Mus musculus: one gene and its partner. The protein of the gene in region 2 purifies or fractionates together with the protein of the main gene of each other region. This does not show direct contact. Links are inferred from orthologs where the notes say so. Each region holds a gene or a part of one and is shown on either strand. Other genes may lie near its edges.

Evidence for each region.
Region 1: the proteins of Smarcd1 (region 2) and Bicra purify together in Homo sapiens (affinity purification with mass spectrometry; 5 studies listed by BioGRID and IntAct, counting the BioPlex papers as one, with this or other methods). This does not show direct contact. The link is inferred for Mus musculus from reciprocal best matches to the Homo sapiens genes SMARCD1 and BICRA.

What each region holds. Positions count from the first base shown.
Region 1 is NC_000073.6:15,970,762-15,974,788, forward strand, and holds the end of Bicra (BRD4-interacting chromatin-remodeling complex-associated protein), read right to left. Parts: intron 2,129-4,027; coding exon 1,017-2,128; 3' UTR 501-1,016; downstream 1-500. UniProt on the Homo sapiens protein: Component of SWI/SNF chromatin remodeling subcomplex GBAF that carries out key enzymatic activities, changing chromatin structure by altering DNA-histone contacts within a nucleosome in an ATP-dependent manner.
Region 2 is NC_000081.6:99,699,036-99,706,574, reverse strand, and holds the start of Smarcd1 (SWI/SNF-related matrix-associated actin-dependent regulator of chromatin subfamily D member 1), read right to left. Parts: upstream 4,289-7,539; 5' UTR 4,254-4,288; coding exon 4,077-4,253; exon of another isoform or gene 3,785-4,076; intron 3,470-3,784; coding exon 3,282-3,469; exon of another isoform or gene 3,073-3,281; intron 2,985-3,072; coding exon 2,942-2,984; exon of another isoform or gene 2,838-2,941; coding exon 2,715-2,837; intron 2,245-2,714; coding exon 2,122-2,244; intron 949-2,121; coding exon 832-948; intron 71-831; exon of another isoform or gene 1-70. Other genes in the region: Asic1 (acid-sensing ion channel 1), read right to left, coding at 7,437-7,539. UniProt on the Homo sapiens protein: Involved in transcriptional activation and repression of select genes by chromatin remodeling (alteration of DNA-nucleosome topology).

The DNA.
Region 1 (4,027 bases), on a different chromosome or scaffold from region 2:
TACAGTACAAAAAAAATCTTTATCTTACAGTACTAGTTTTGTCTCCGAAATTTCAAAACGTGGCGTGGTGGGCTGGAGGCAAGAAGAATACAGGGAAGACTGCTTGGGAGAAGGAAGGACGACCCCGTGTCTTGTTCCTCTGGAGGGATGGGGGGGGGGGCGCTCTCTCTCTCTCATGCACGCGCGCGCGCGCGCGCACACACACACACAGGATGACTCAGGTGAATGCACGTATGGATGGGATGCAGGTACCCCCCTCTCTCTCTCTCTCATGCACGCGCGCGCGCACACACACACACACACAGGATGACTCAGGTGAATGCACGTATGGATGGGATGCAGGTCCTCTCTCTCTCTCTCTCTCTCTCTCTCTCTCTCTCTCGTGCACGCACACATACACAGGATGACTCCGGTGAGTGCACGTATGGATGGGATGCAGGTACCTCTCTCTCTCTCTCTCTCTCTCTCTCTCTCTCTCTCTCTCTCTCTCTCTCTCTCGTGCACGCACACATACACAGGATGACTCCGGTGAGTGCACGTATGGATGGGATGTAGGTACTTTGGGACACTGGCTTGAGTCCTTGCTTCCTAATCTTTCAGGCTCTGTGGGCAACAGGATGAGAGTTGAGCCTTTCAGAAGATCTCTCCCGGCTCTGAGTGCCCCGGACAGTGATCCACGAAGCCAATCAGACAAGACCTTGTTTTCAGATGTTACCAGTGCATCAACCTAGAAGCCCAGTCCTAGGCAACACTCATGTATCCCCTGTCCTGGCTTGTGCCAGGGGGACGTTGTACCTTATAGCCCACCTTCCCCTAGAAAACCCACGCCCCATTCCAAATCTCTAGCCAACGTGGAAGCAGGAAGGTGGGGAGGCCTTTGTGACTCAAAATAACTTAGGCAAGAATTGTCAGGGGAACTGGGTTAGTGCCCCTTAGAGGTGGAGGTCGGCGGTCAGGCTGCTCTCCTGGAAGTGGGGTTGGGGGCACTCTATGAGGGCTGCAGAAGCAGCCCGGTGTTATCTGTTCAACGTCCTGGCACCGAGGCCACCATTGTGACTAGAGGGTGGGAAGGCGTCAGGCCTGTGCAGGGGCGCTGGGGATGTGGGGGTGCCAGGCGTGGGCCCCGTATGGGGGTATGGGCCTGCGGGTGTCCGGCCGGGGGCCTGCTGCAGGTTAAGGATGCTGTCGATGGCACTCTGCAAATGCTCAGTAAGTGTATCATCCTGCGGGCTGTCACTAGAGAAGCTGGCCTGGTCCACGTCCGGGGACTCAGACTTGCGTCGTTTGGCTGGGGGTAGCACGGGTGCTTCCCAACTGGGTTCAGTGGGGCCCTGGCTGGTAGCGGAGGCTGGAGTCTCCGGGGGTGGTGGGCCGCCCTTCAGAACCCGCTGATATAGTTCATCCTCCACCGCTGCCAGCTCCCGGATCAGCCCACTGGTGGCTTCGTCTACCTTGGTGGGCAGTGGGGTGGGGCTGCCCGCACCCCGCGGCCGTCCCTGTGCACCCTCGGCGGCACCAGGATTGCCCATGTTTTCTCGGTAGGTCTTGCGTAGTGGTAGACGTGGGCAGGACGCAGGCACCGTGGGTTTGCGTACTGCGGGTGGGGGATGGTCCAGAGTGCCATTCATCTGCGCCTGGGTAGCAGGAGGGAGTGGGGGCGGAGCTGGGTGTGGCGGAGGCTCCGCCCCTTTCGCTGGGGTTGGAGCCGGCAAGGGCTGATGCACAGGATCCAGTGCAGTGTTGTGCACCACCTTGCTGAGCCCCGCCTCTTGTTTGATCTTGAGTTTGAGACCAATGCGGCTCCGGGCCTCATAGGTCTTGATGGGTGGCCGGTTACGGGTGGGCATGGGGCCGTCCTCATCTGCGTCCAGGGATGAGGCAGCAGAGGATGAGGAGGAGGATGAGGAAGTGGATGACAAGGAGGAGGATGCCCGGGCCCAGGTCACTGAGGGAGAGCCGCCGGCCCCACCGTGCCGGATCACTAGCTTGGTGGGCAGATGAGGAGGGGGCTGGGCAGACGTTCCAGATGTGGAGGATGAAGACGACTGGCCATGGCTGGGGAGCCGGTGGCCCTCGGAAGACACTGGGACAGGGAAGCCAAGGGAGCGGGAGGAAGACACGTACTCATCTGTAGAGTTGGGACAAAAGAAACCATGGGGTCGTTATCTAAGATGACGGAGGTACTTGTACACTGACCATCTTATCTTCTGGTCCAGACTGAGTCTAGACCAGTGGTTCTCAACCTGTGACTGGCAATTCCTGTGGGGTTTGAACAACCCTTTCATAGGGGTTGTACATCAAATATCATGCATATCAGGCATTTACATTACAATACATAACAGTAGCAAAGTTACAGCTATGAAGTAGCTAGCAATGAAAATAATTTTATGGTTGGGTGTCAGGAACTGTATTAAAGGGTGGCTGCATTAGGAAGGTCTGGACTGAGCTGATTCTCGGGCCACTCACTCTGCAGGCTCCCTTTACGAACAGCCCCCGAACCACCCCCTAAAGCTTCACGGCTCAACCAAGGTTACATGTGTGTGAAATGAACAATAAGAATTTAAAACAGGGCTGGAGAGAGTGCTCAGCGGTTAAAAGAGCACTGACTGATCTTCTGAAAAGCCCGAGTTCAAATCCCAGCAAACACAGGGTAGCTCACAACCACCTGTAATGAGATCTGACGCCCTCTTCTGGTGCATCTGAAGACAGCTACAGTGTACTTACATATAATAATAAATACATCTTTAGGCCAGAGTGTCTAGGACCAGAGTGAGTGGGGTCAAACAAAGCGAGCAACCTTTATTCCCAGCAACCACATGATGGCTCACAACCATCAGTATAGCTACAGTGTACTCAGAAACATAAAATAAGTAAAATAAATCTAAAAAAAAAAAAAAGTTAAAACAAAAAGTACGTCCTTATGGGGCTAGAGAGATGCTCTTAACCTCTAAGCACTGACTGCTTTTTCAACATCCAGAGTTCAATTCCCAGGTGGCTCACAACCATCTGTAATGGGATCTGATGCCCTCTTCTGGTGCGTCTGAAGACAGCTACAGTGTACTCATAAATACAATAAATAAATATTTTATTTTAAAAAAGTGCAGTCCCAAGCCGGGTGTAGTGGTCTACATCTGCCATCCTGGCTTCTCAGAAGACAGACAGGGAGGATCTGCAGTACAGAAGCCGGCCTGGCACTTAGTGAGATCCTGGTTTTAGAAAAATGAAGTCTAAAACAAAACAGTATTAGAGTGTGGCTCAGTGGTAGACCCTTGCCTAGAATCCTCCAGTGAGGGGCTGGGGGCGTGGCTCAGTGGTAGAGCCTCTGCCTAGAATCCTCCAGTGAGGGGCTGGGGGCGTGGCTCCACAATACAGCCATAGCCTATCTTGAGTTTAAACACTAGCGCCTCAAAAACAAGTATTCCCAGGTTACGTCCTTGTTTTCTGATGTGCTAGGCTTGTGCTCCCTGTAAGGCATGCGTATAACCCCTGGTAGGTTGTTTGACTCATTCCCATGTTGCCTATCAGACTTGTTACAGAAATTCTTGCGCATGAACACAGGGTCCTGTGTAGAGTCACTAGGTATACTCAGAAGACACATCACCTTCCTAATGACAGAAAGCTCTAGAATATACCCCGAAGGATTCAGAAAGATTACACACTAGTGTCCTGATTCCTGTGAGTACCCGAGAAGGCCAGGGCTGGGGAAGGGGGAAGATGAATGCTGCCGGTGTTGTCGTTGTTGTTTAAAGAGAATAATGGTACTTGGAGCTGAATGTAGAAAGCTTACGGGGTCTTTGAAAAAGCCAGGGTCTGGGGTGTGACTGCATGCTTTCCTTGAACCAAGGGTAAGGCTTGCAAGGGTTAAGGCTCATTCTTAAGACTGGTAGAAGCACCTGGTCTACAAAGTTTAGCCCAGGACAGCCAGGGCTAAACAAAGAAACCCTGTCTCGAAAAACCAAAAAAAAAAAAAAAAAAAAGACTGGGCACAGAGTAGGTGTGGCAGAGACCTTTTTTGTGCCTCAGCCCT
Region 2 (7,539 bases):
GAGGAAGCAGCACTGAAAGCCCCTGATTGAAGATGAGTGGGAACCTTCCCAATAAACACGTTTTGGATATTAAAAAAAAAAAAAAAAAAAAAAAAAAAAAAAAAGAAACCTAAGCTTCAATTTACTGAGGGCTAAGCTGTCTATGAGTCTACGACACACTACATTCAGTACGTTACAGAGCTAGAACTTGAGCTGACTCTAGGCCACAGGTCTAGCTACTCTACACTACTGCTATGCTATCAAATCAAGCACTTTACAGATTTCTACCAACTCTGTGACTTACTTCCCATGTCTCTTAGTGGCTGGAGATAAGGGGCTGCAGCTACGGTGGTAAAGAAAGGGGCAGGTTAAGTCCCCAGAGAGCACTAGGCCACTCTAGTTTATGTCCCCACAACCCTGTTGCTAACAGCTAACAGTCTTTGAAGCATTGTACAACCAGGCGTTAAGTGTTCCTGGCTGTCTGAAGGATAAATCTAAAGGATCAGGGGCCAAGAGGAAGGTACAGATCAGTAACCCAGACAAGCTAGTGCTCTATTAGTCTACGAGTCACCCATTAGCTACAGAAACTGCTATCAAGAAAATAAAACACGTCAGTTACTACAGCCCACCAATACTTAAAGGAAGACGCAGAGACAGTTGAAAGTGTAAGGACTCCACTCTACCAAGATCTCTTTGGGGGCAGCAGTCTGGACAGCAACAAGTGAGTCAAATCAGTTACCAAGAGCTCCTGGGGCCCAACTCAGCACAGCTAGCGCCGCCTAGAGGCCAATGTGTGAACCTGGGCTAATCATCCCCTGAAAATGTTAAGGCCTGGAAGGCAGAACTACTCACTTCTACCAGATGGTTGTCTGGGCCATAGAGGTCTTTGTCCAGTTCGATCACCAAGGACTTAAAAAAGGAAGAGAACTTTCTCTTTTGCTTGGTGGCGTCATATTTGGACAAGGCCGCCTAGAAAAGAGATGGGGAGTGGGTGGAGTGTGTTGTTACACAAGGCCAGAAAGAAGTCCCCAGGATGGAGTTCCTTAAGAAGCAATTTCTAGGGCTGGTGAGATGGCTCAGTGGGTAAGAGCACCCGACTGCTCTTCCGAAGGTCCGAAGTTCAAATCCCAGCAACCACATGGTGGCTCACAACCACCCATAATGAGATCTGACGCCCTCTTCTGTAGCTGTCTGAAGACAGCTACAGTGTACTTACATATAATAAATAAATAAATAAATAAATAAATAAATCTAAAAAAAAAAAAAAAAAAAAAAAAGAAGCAATTTCTAACTCCACTGGGGAAATATCTTCTGGTTATGGCTAGGCAGCCACTAAGTCAGTCCTGGCCACAGCAGTGCACTAACAATGGCAGGGTCTCCGACTTCCGACTGAGAAGGGAGGCAAGTTAAGCCCGACCATTAACACAACAAAGCACACTGGAACAGAGAAGAGCCTGGCAGCAGAGGGCAAATGAATCACAGGCAAAAGGCAGTGGAACAAAATCTGCCTTTATCTGGACAGAACACATGACCAGCAAACAGCCCGGACTACCCACAGGAGGCTCTGGTTCTCCAGCAAAAGTGCACTCGAACGAGCTCACTTGCACAGCTAAATATAGTGCCAGAGCGCAGCACTGGGTGAGCATGAGCTGCTGGGTGGAGAGTTTGGGGGTGCTCATTAGTCTGATGATCCCCTTGGAGCAACAGAGAGCCAAGCCTTTGGGGGACTCTCACACTTAAACTGTGGTACCTCCAAGGAAAGTTGGGAACACAGAAATAACCTCAAGGATTCAAGGGAGGAAACATGGCCTCAAAGGCTCAGCACAGATGGGTGGCGGGCAGGGATGGGGACCACTGAGATCATCCACTGATACTGCTAAATCCAAAGGGCAGCATCACCAGGGCCAAGTCAACAGCAACCCAGACCCCAGGACAAAACCGTGCAGCTGAGGAAGCAGACACAAAGGACCATTGTCTTTGTATGCAGGGAACACAGCCCCCCAGCCCCCTCCCGGAAGCTCCCAGCAGGAGTGGTGAACTGCAGTCAGGTTTCCTGCTGAGCACACCGCACCAAGCACCCGGCACAGTGCCACCCCTGCAGCTCCCTCCCTGAGCACCAACCACAGTGGACCTTGAACTCACGTCCTCCAGGAGCCGGCCTTCTACCCGGAGCTCCCAGGAAGCCACCGTCCCTTCCCCATCCTCCGCGTCCGACTTAGCCGGATTGAACGTGTTAGAAATGAAAATTCGCAGCTTCCGTTTTTGCTGAGGAAGGCAGAAACAGGATCGACAGTGGAGCTTCGGTAGTAAAGGTCCCCTAAAACTCCCAAGTGACTCCTCACTGGCTGGCTCACTACAGGGGACAGAGACTCCACTCGGAAGTGTACAGTCCCGACCTGAGCCTGGGTGCAAGTGAATGCACCAGGGGACTAGGGAGACAAAATTGTGCAAAGTGGCATGTTCCCAAGGTAGCAAGTGGTTACAGCAAAAAGCGCGCACGGGTCTATTTCTGTCTAGAGCCCTGGATAGCTCCCCCCCAACCCCCCACCCCCGCCCCTTTCCCTGCCAGCTGTTAGACTCCTATGCTCCTAATGTAATTCCTGGTTTGTAGGCGGAAGGGAAAGATGCAATTTAAATGCCACAGAGAGCTGTGCTGTGCCTTTGATTTTTCCATCCTGAGCTGGAGAGAGACCTGGGCCCCTCCCTTGACCCTCAGCCTGGTACTGTCCTGTTACCTTGATGGGACGTTTCAAGGCCTCCTGGATATCTAGCCGCTTCCTCATAATAGTCTGGTCCAGTTTCCTTTCAAAAGCCAGGAGATCCATGTAGGCCTGTGATTCTGGGACCAGTTCCCGAATCTTAGGAACAGAAAGACAGAGATGGGATGGGGCAGCCCTCGTTCTGACCACTTCTATTCTCAAAGCCACTACCCCTTCAAGGAGACCTCTGCAGCTGCACTCACCCTTTGAGGTAGGATTTTGTCAGCCATCTTCTTTTTCTTTGCACTGTTCAGAATAAATACTGTGATCAGGTTGGGATAGGAACTAGTCAGAACGTGAGCAGTGTTGTGAGCACCTTTGTTTATGGTTACAGCCAAGGCCTACGAAATGACTCTCCATTTAAAGACGCTACCTCTCCCATGACCACCAAAACTCCACTGCATCATGAGGCCCTGTTAGTCCCTGCAGCACCGTTTGGTGCCACAGCGCTGACTTCCTGGTTCTGCATGCCCACCACCAGCATCCTCACAGGCCTCCTCTCCCCCATACCCTTCTTTCCTTCACCCCCAGGGGTCATCTTACTTGTGATTTCGATTTTGGACCGCCTGCTGCTGGACCTGCTGGATCTGTTGAGGTGCAGGTCTCTTGCGGGACTGGTCCATCCCTGACTGGGCCAGACCAGGTCGGACTGAAGGGTTCCCCCCATAGCCAGGAGGTCCCATGGAAGGTCCCTGAGGTGTCATTCGGCTACCTGGCAGCATACCTGGTCTCTACAGAAGGGAGAGGACCCAGAAATGTCATACTTTTCCTTGCTAGCCCCACCAAGAAAGGAAAAATGGTGGCAGCCTGGATTTCAGGAGTGGGTTAGGGCTGGGGGTGGGGTGGGGGGACAACAAGACAGTCCTTTGCTTCTTTGAAATACAGTCACTGGACCTTCAGTGATTTCATTGCATATAGTCTAAAAACTAGATTATACTCAATTTTTCTGGTCTATGCTGGATCTGACTCACCAGACATGTCTAGTCAGCCCTACATTTCTTTTTTTACTAGCTACTGTCTCCTCTAAAGCTGACCTCCATTTGCAGCTATAACAGCCTGGGTATTCCTGGGGACACGGGGGCTGCCCACTCCCCTCTGCATTCCATGACCATCCCAGGGCCCACTTCGCCCACCCTGGTTCCACACTCACTCCTCACATGGAAACAATGCCGCCAGGAGCAGGTAAGGATGCTAACCTCCTCCCCCCCCACACACCTCCACTCCCGGCCCGAGCCCCTCCCCAGGGAGTCCCTCCCACTTCTCCCTCACCCCTGTCAGTCCTCCGCCCTCGCTCGGCCCCGCCCCCGGCCCGCGCGCCCCTCCTCCTGTCCCACTCACCGGATAGGCCGCCCCGGGCATCGGAGAGCGGTACAGCCCTTGACCCGGCGCCGGGCCCATTCGCACGGGAGGCCCGGGAGTTCCGCCCGGGCCCAGAGCAGCCGCCACGCCCGCTCCTCCTGAGGCTCCCGCGCCGCCGCTCGGAGCCACAGACTGGAAACCCGCCCGGGCCGCCATCTTCCCGGAGCCGCCGCTGCAGCTGCACAAAGAACCGGAACCGGAACTCCCCCCGCCCCCCGCGCGCCCCCCGAGCGCCTGGGCTGTTTGTGGGCCCGGCCCGCCGGCGGGCACAGGCGGCTCGGAGCAGCGAGACTACGGGCTAGAGGGGGCGACTAGCGGGAAAGGCGTGCTGACCACTCCCTCCCGCCTTCACGGGCCAGGAGGGAGCACCATAGAGAAGCGGTGTGCGGATAAAGAGGTGCCGGGAGCGAGCGCCTCCACGCGGTTGGAGGACGGTAAAAAGCCTTGCAGAGAGCCCAGCCCATCCGGCTGGCGGCTGGAGTGATGCTTCACCTTGGCCCAGTGCATTTACCTCTCCAAAGCATTCTGGTTGCCTTGCTTTTCGTTCTCCTACTGCTCAGACTCCGGGTACTAAAGAGGAAAACGTGCTGTTTGTTCGTTCGGGAAAAGTAGAACTCGAAGGAGATCAATGTCGTGGCAAAGACAAATCAGCAAGAGAAAACCCATGCCGGGCCGTGGTGGCGCACGCCTTTAATCCCAGCACTTGGGAGGCAGAGGCAGGCGGATTTCTGAGTTCGAGGCCAGCCTGGTCTACAGAGTGAGTTCCAGGACAGCCAGGGATACACAGAGAAGGCTCGGGACCCTTCACCTCAGACGTTTAACTTAAGATTTTGATGCGTTTTTTCCCGTGACTTTTCTCCAAAGAGTCCTGGATATTTGTTGCCATAGATAACTGCTGGTCCCCTGCCCAGTGATCAGACGAATCCTGAGCCTGTCTTTTCCCAGCAGGATCAGTGTTTACCTGATCAAGTATGTAGGGTCTGGTGTAGCCCAATCTAGCGTTAAACTCACTGTGTAATGGAAGATAGCTGCTCCATCTCCTACCTGCTGGAATTACAGGTATAACCACCACACCGGGCTACCACTCAAATTCCCTTACTCTAGTTGTGTGGCTCTCAAGGCAAGCTCCATTCTAAAGGTAACACCCACAGTTTGCAACTAAAAACAGCACTGGGCAGGATAATGGCAGCTCAGGCTTTTAATCCCAGCATTTTGGGAGGCAGGAGGATCTCTGTGAGAGTTCGAGGCCAGCCTGGACTACAGAGCCGTTCCAGGACAGCCAGGGCTACACAGAGAAACCCTGTCTCAAAACAAACCAAACAACAAACAGAAAACCAACACTGAAGAGATGGTTGAAACCCAGTTTATTAGACCAGAGGCATGCGTCACCCAGAGCCCCTCCTGCTGCCCCCCCAGCCAGTGTACATTTCTCAGCTTTGCCCTGTTTCTTTCTGGGGAGTTCTGATCTCTAAACAACTCTTGAGAACCAAGAGGTCTCAAAGATGCCAAAGCCTTGCTCTCTGGCTCCAGGCCAACGTACACAGGTGATCTGCCCATAAGTCCTGTTTTGGGATTAGAGACCAAGAGACAGTGGGGACAGAGAAGGCCAGGAATGAGATTGGAGAGCTGGCCTGGGAAGGGTGTCTGGTTGAGGAGGCCCTCTACCTCACCTTGTGGCCCCCTTAGGGTAGGGACACACAACAGCACGTCTTTCAACTTCTGCTCTAGGCCAATCTCTTTCCTCATGTGACCACGCCCTGACTCACCAGAAAATGCAAGCGGTGGGCCTGGGCATCAAGGTGAGGACTGGGCCCTGGGCACCCCGAAGAAAGAAAGGCCACTGAGTCAGGGCTCCGGCTTCTGGCTGTGGGTACCCACCGCCCAGCTGCAAGAGGGAGTCACCAATCCCCAGCCTCCCTCCCCACCTCCCGTCTGTAACTCTCTCCGCTTAGTGTCCTCCATTCCTGGGTAGGAGCTACCTCTCCAGCAGTCACTTCCCTCAGGGAGGCCACAGTCAGCCAGGCAAAGGGCACTGGGATAGGTGGAGCAAGGTAGAGGGTATGTTAAGGCTGTGGGGAGGGCAGAGGGTGCCCCGGTCGTGGGGGCAAAGGGCGAGGCCAGAAAGAGGCAGAGCTTGTAATTCACAGCTTCCTTTATGTCGCCACCGAGACAGTGCGAAGGTTACAATGCGCGTGTCATCTCCTTGTGCTTCTCAGAGGGATGTGTGTACACAGTACAGTACAGACACCAGGGGAGAATCCAGCTCTTTATACGGGCAAAGGCATTCAGAGACAGGAGAATGGGGGAGAGACAGAAGGGAGAACTAGGGGCGGGAGGGCGGTTCTTGGAGACAAGAGGGAATGGAGGGGGAGACAAACAGGGCCGGAGGGGAGTATATACAAGGTTATAGTAATATAGAGTCTGTATCATATAGAAATAGAAAATGCAGATGAGGTTGCCGAGAGAAGCGGATGACGTCGGGGAAGAGGACTTGGGATTGTTCCATAAGAAAATTTATGGATGTGGCCTTCTGCAAAGGCCTCTGAGAGAGAAGCCAGTGAGGTCAGGCGGCCGTGCCCCTCTCCCTGAGCCGGGCGCTAACCAGCCAGGTCTTCTGGGGGATGTCACAGAGGGTTGCCTCTTGGGATCTCTCTCCAGCAGCTTTGGGGTGGAGGTGACTTACAGATATTGGGATGTGGCCTACAGCACCAGGGCCACATGGAGTCCCAATCTCTACTTCTTCAGGAAATCCTCTGCCCCGTAAAGATTCCGTATGCTTGAGGGAGCAGTAACTGGGCACGGAGTCCTTACCTGGAGACTTGGGCTCGTGGGGAGTCACCCGGCTGAGAGCATCTCTTAAGGCTAGGGAAGCCCCCACACCAGCCCTCTCCCTTAAGGTACATTCTCTGGTTTGGGGCCAAATTTCAGACCCTAGAGATCCCCTCCACCCCTCACTAGGAGGGGGCTTTGGTGACTGGAGGCAGCAGAATGTAGGTGGACACTCAGATGACATACAGCCAGACAGACAGAATTCAGGCTTGGAGCTGGGGGCGGCAGCGTGGAGCAGAGGGGCAGCCTGAGGTCGCGGCTGATCTCTCTCTCTCTCTCTCTCTCTCTCTCTCTCTCTCTCTCTTTATATTAGTTTAATTTTGTTAAAATAAAAAGATGAGATAGAGGCTGGGAGAGGACTCTGGTCAAGACTCCTTTCTCACCACAGACAAGAGGGAACCACTGCCCAGGGATGCAGTTTAAGTCCCCAGGGTAGCTGGGGGCAGTTAGGTACCCCTTGCTCCCCCAGCCCTCCCCACCTAGGCCTTTGGTACAGCGGCTGGCGAGGGCTTAGCAGGTAAAGTCCTCAAACGTGCCTCGAGCGGGATGGTGAGGTAGGATGTTGGCAGCGTACGTCATCCCGGCAGGATGTCCTCGGAGGCTCTCGCAGGGA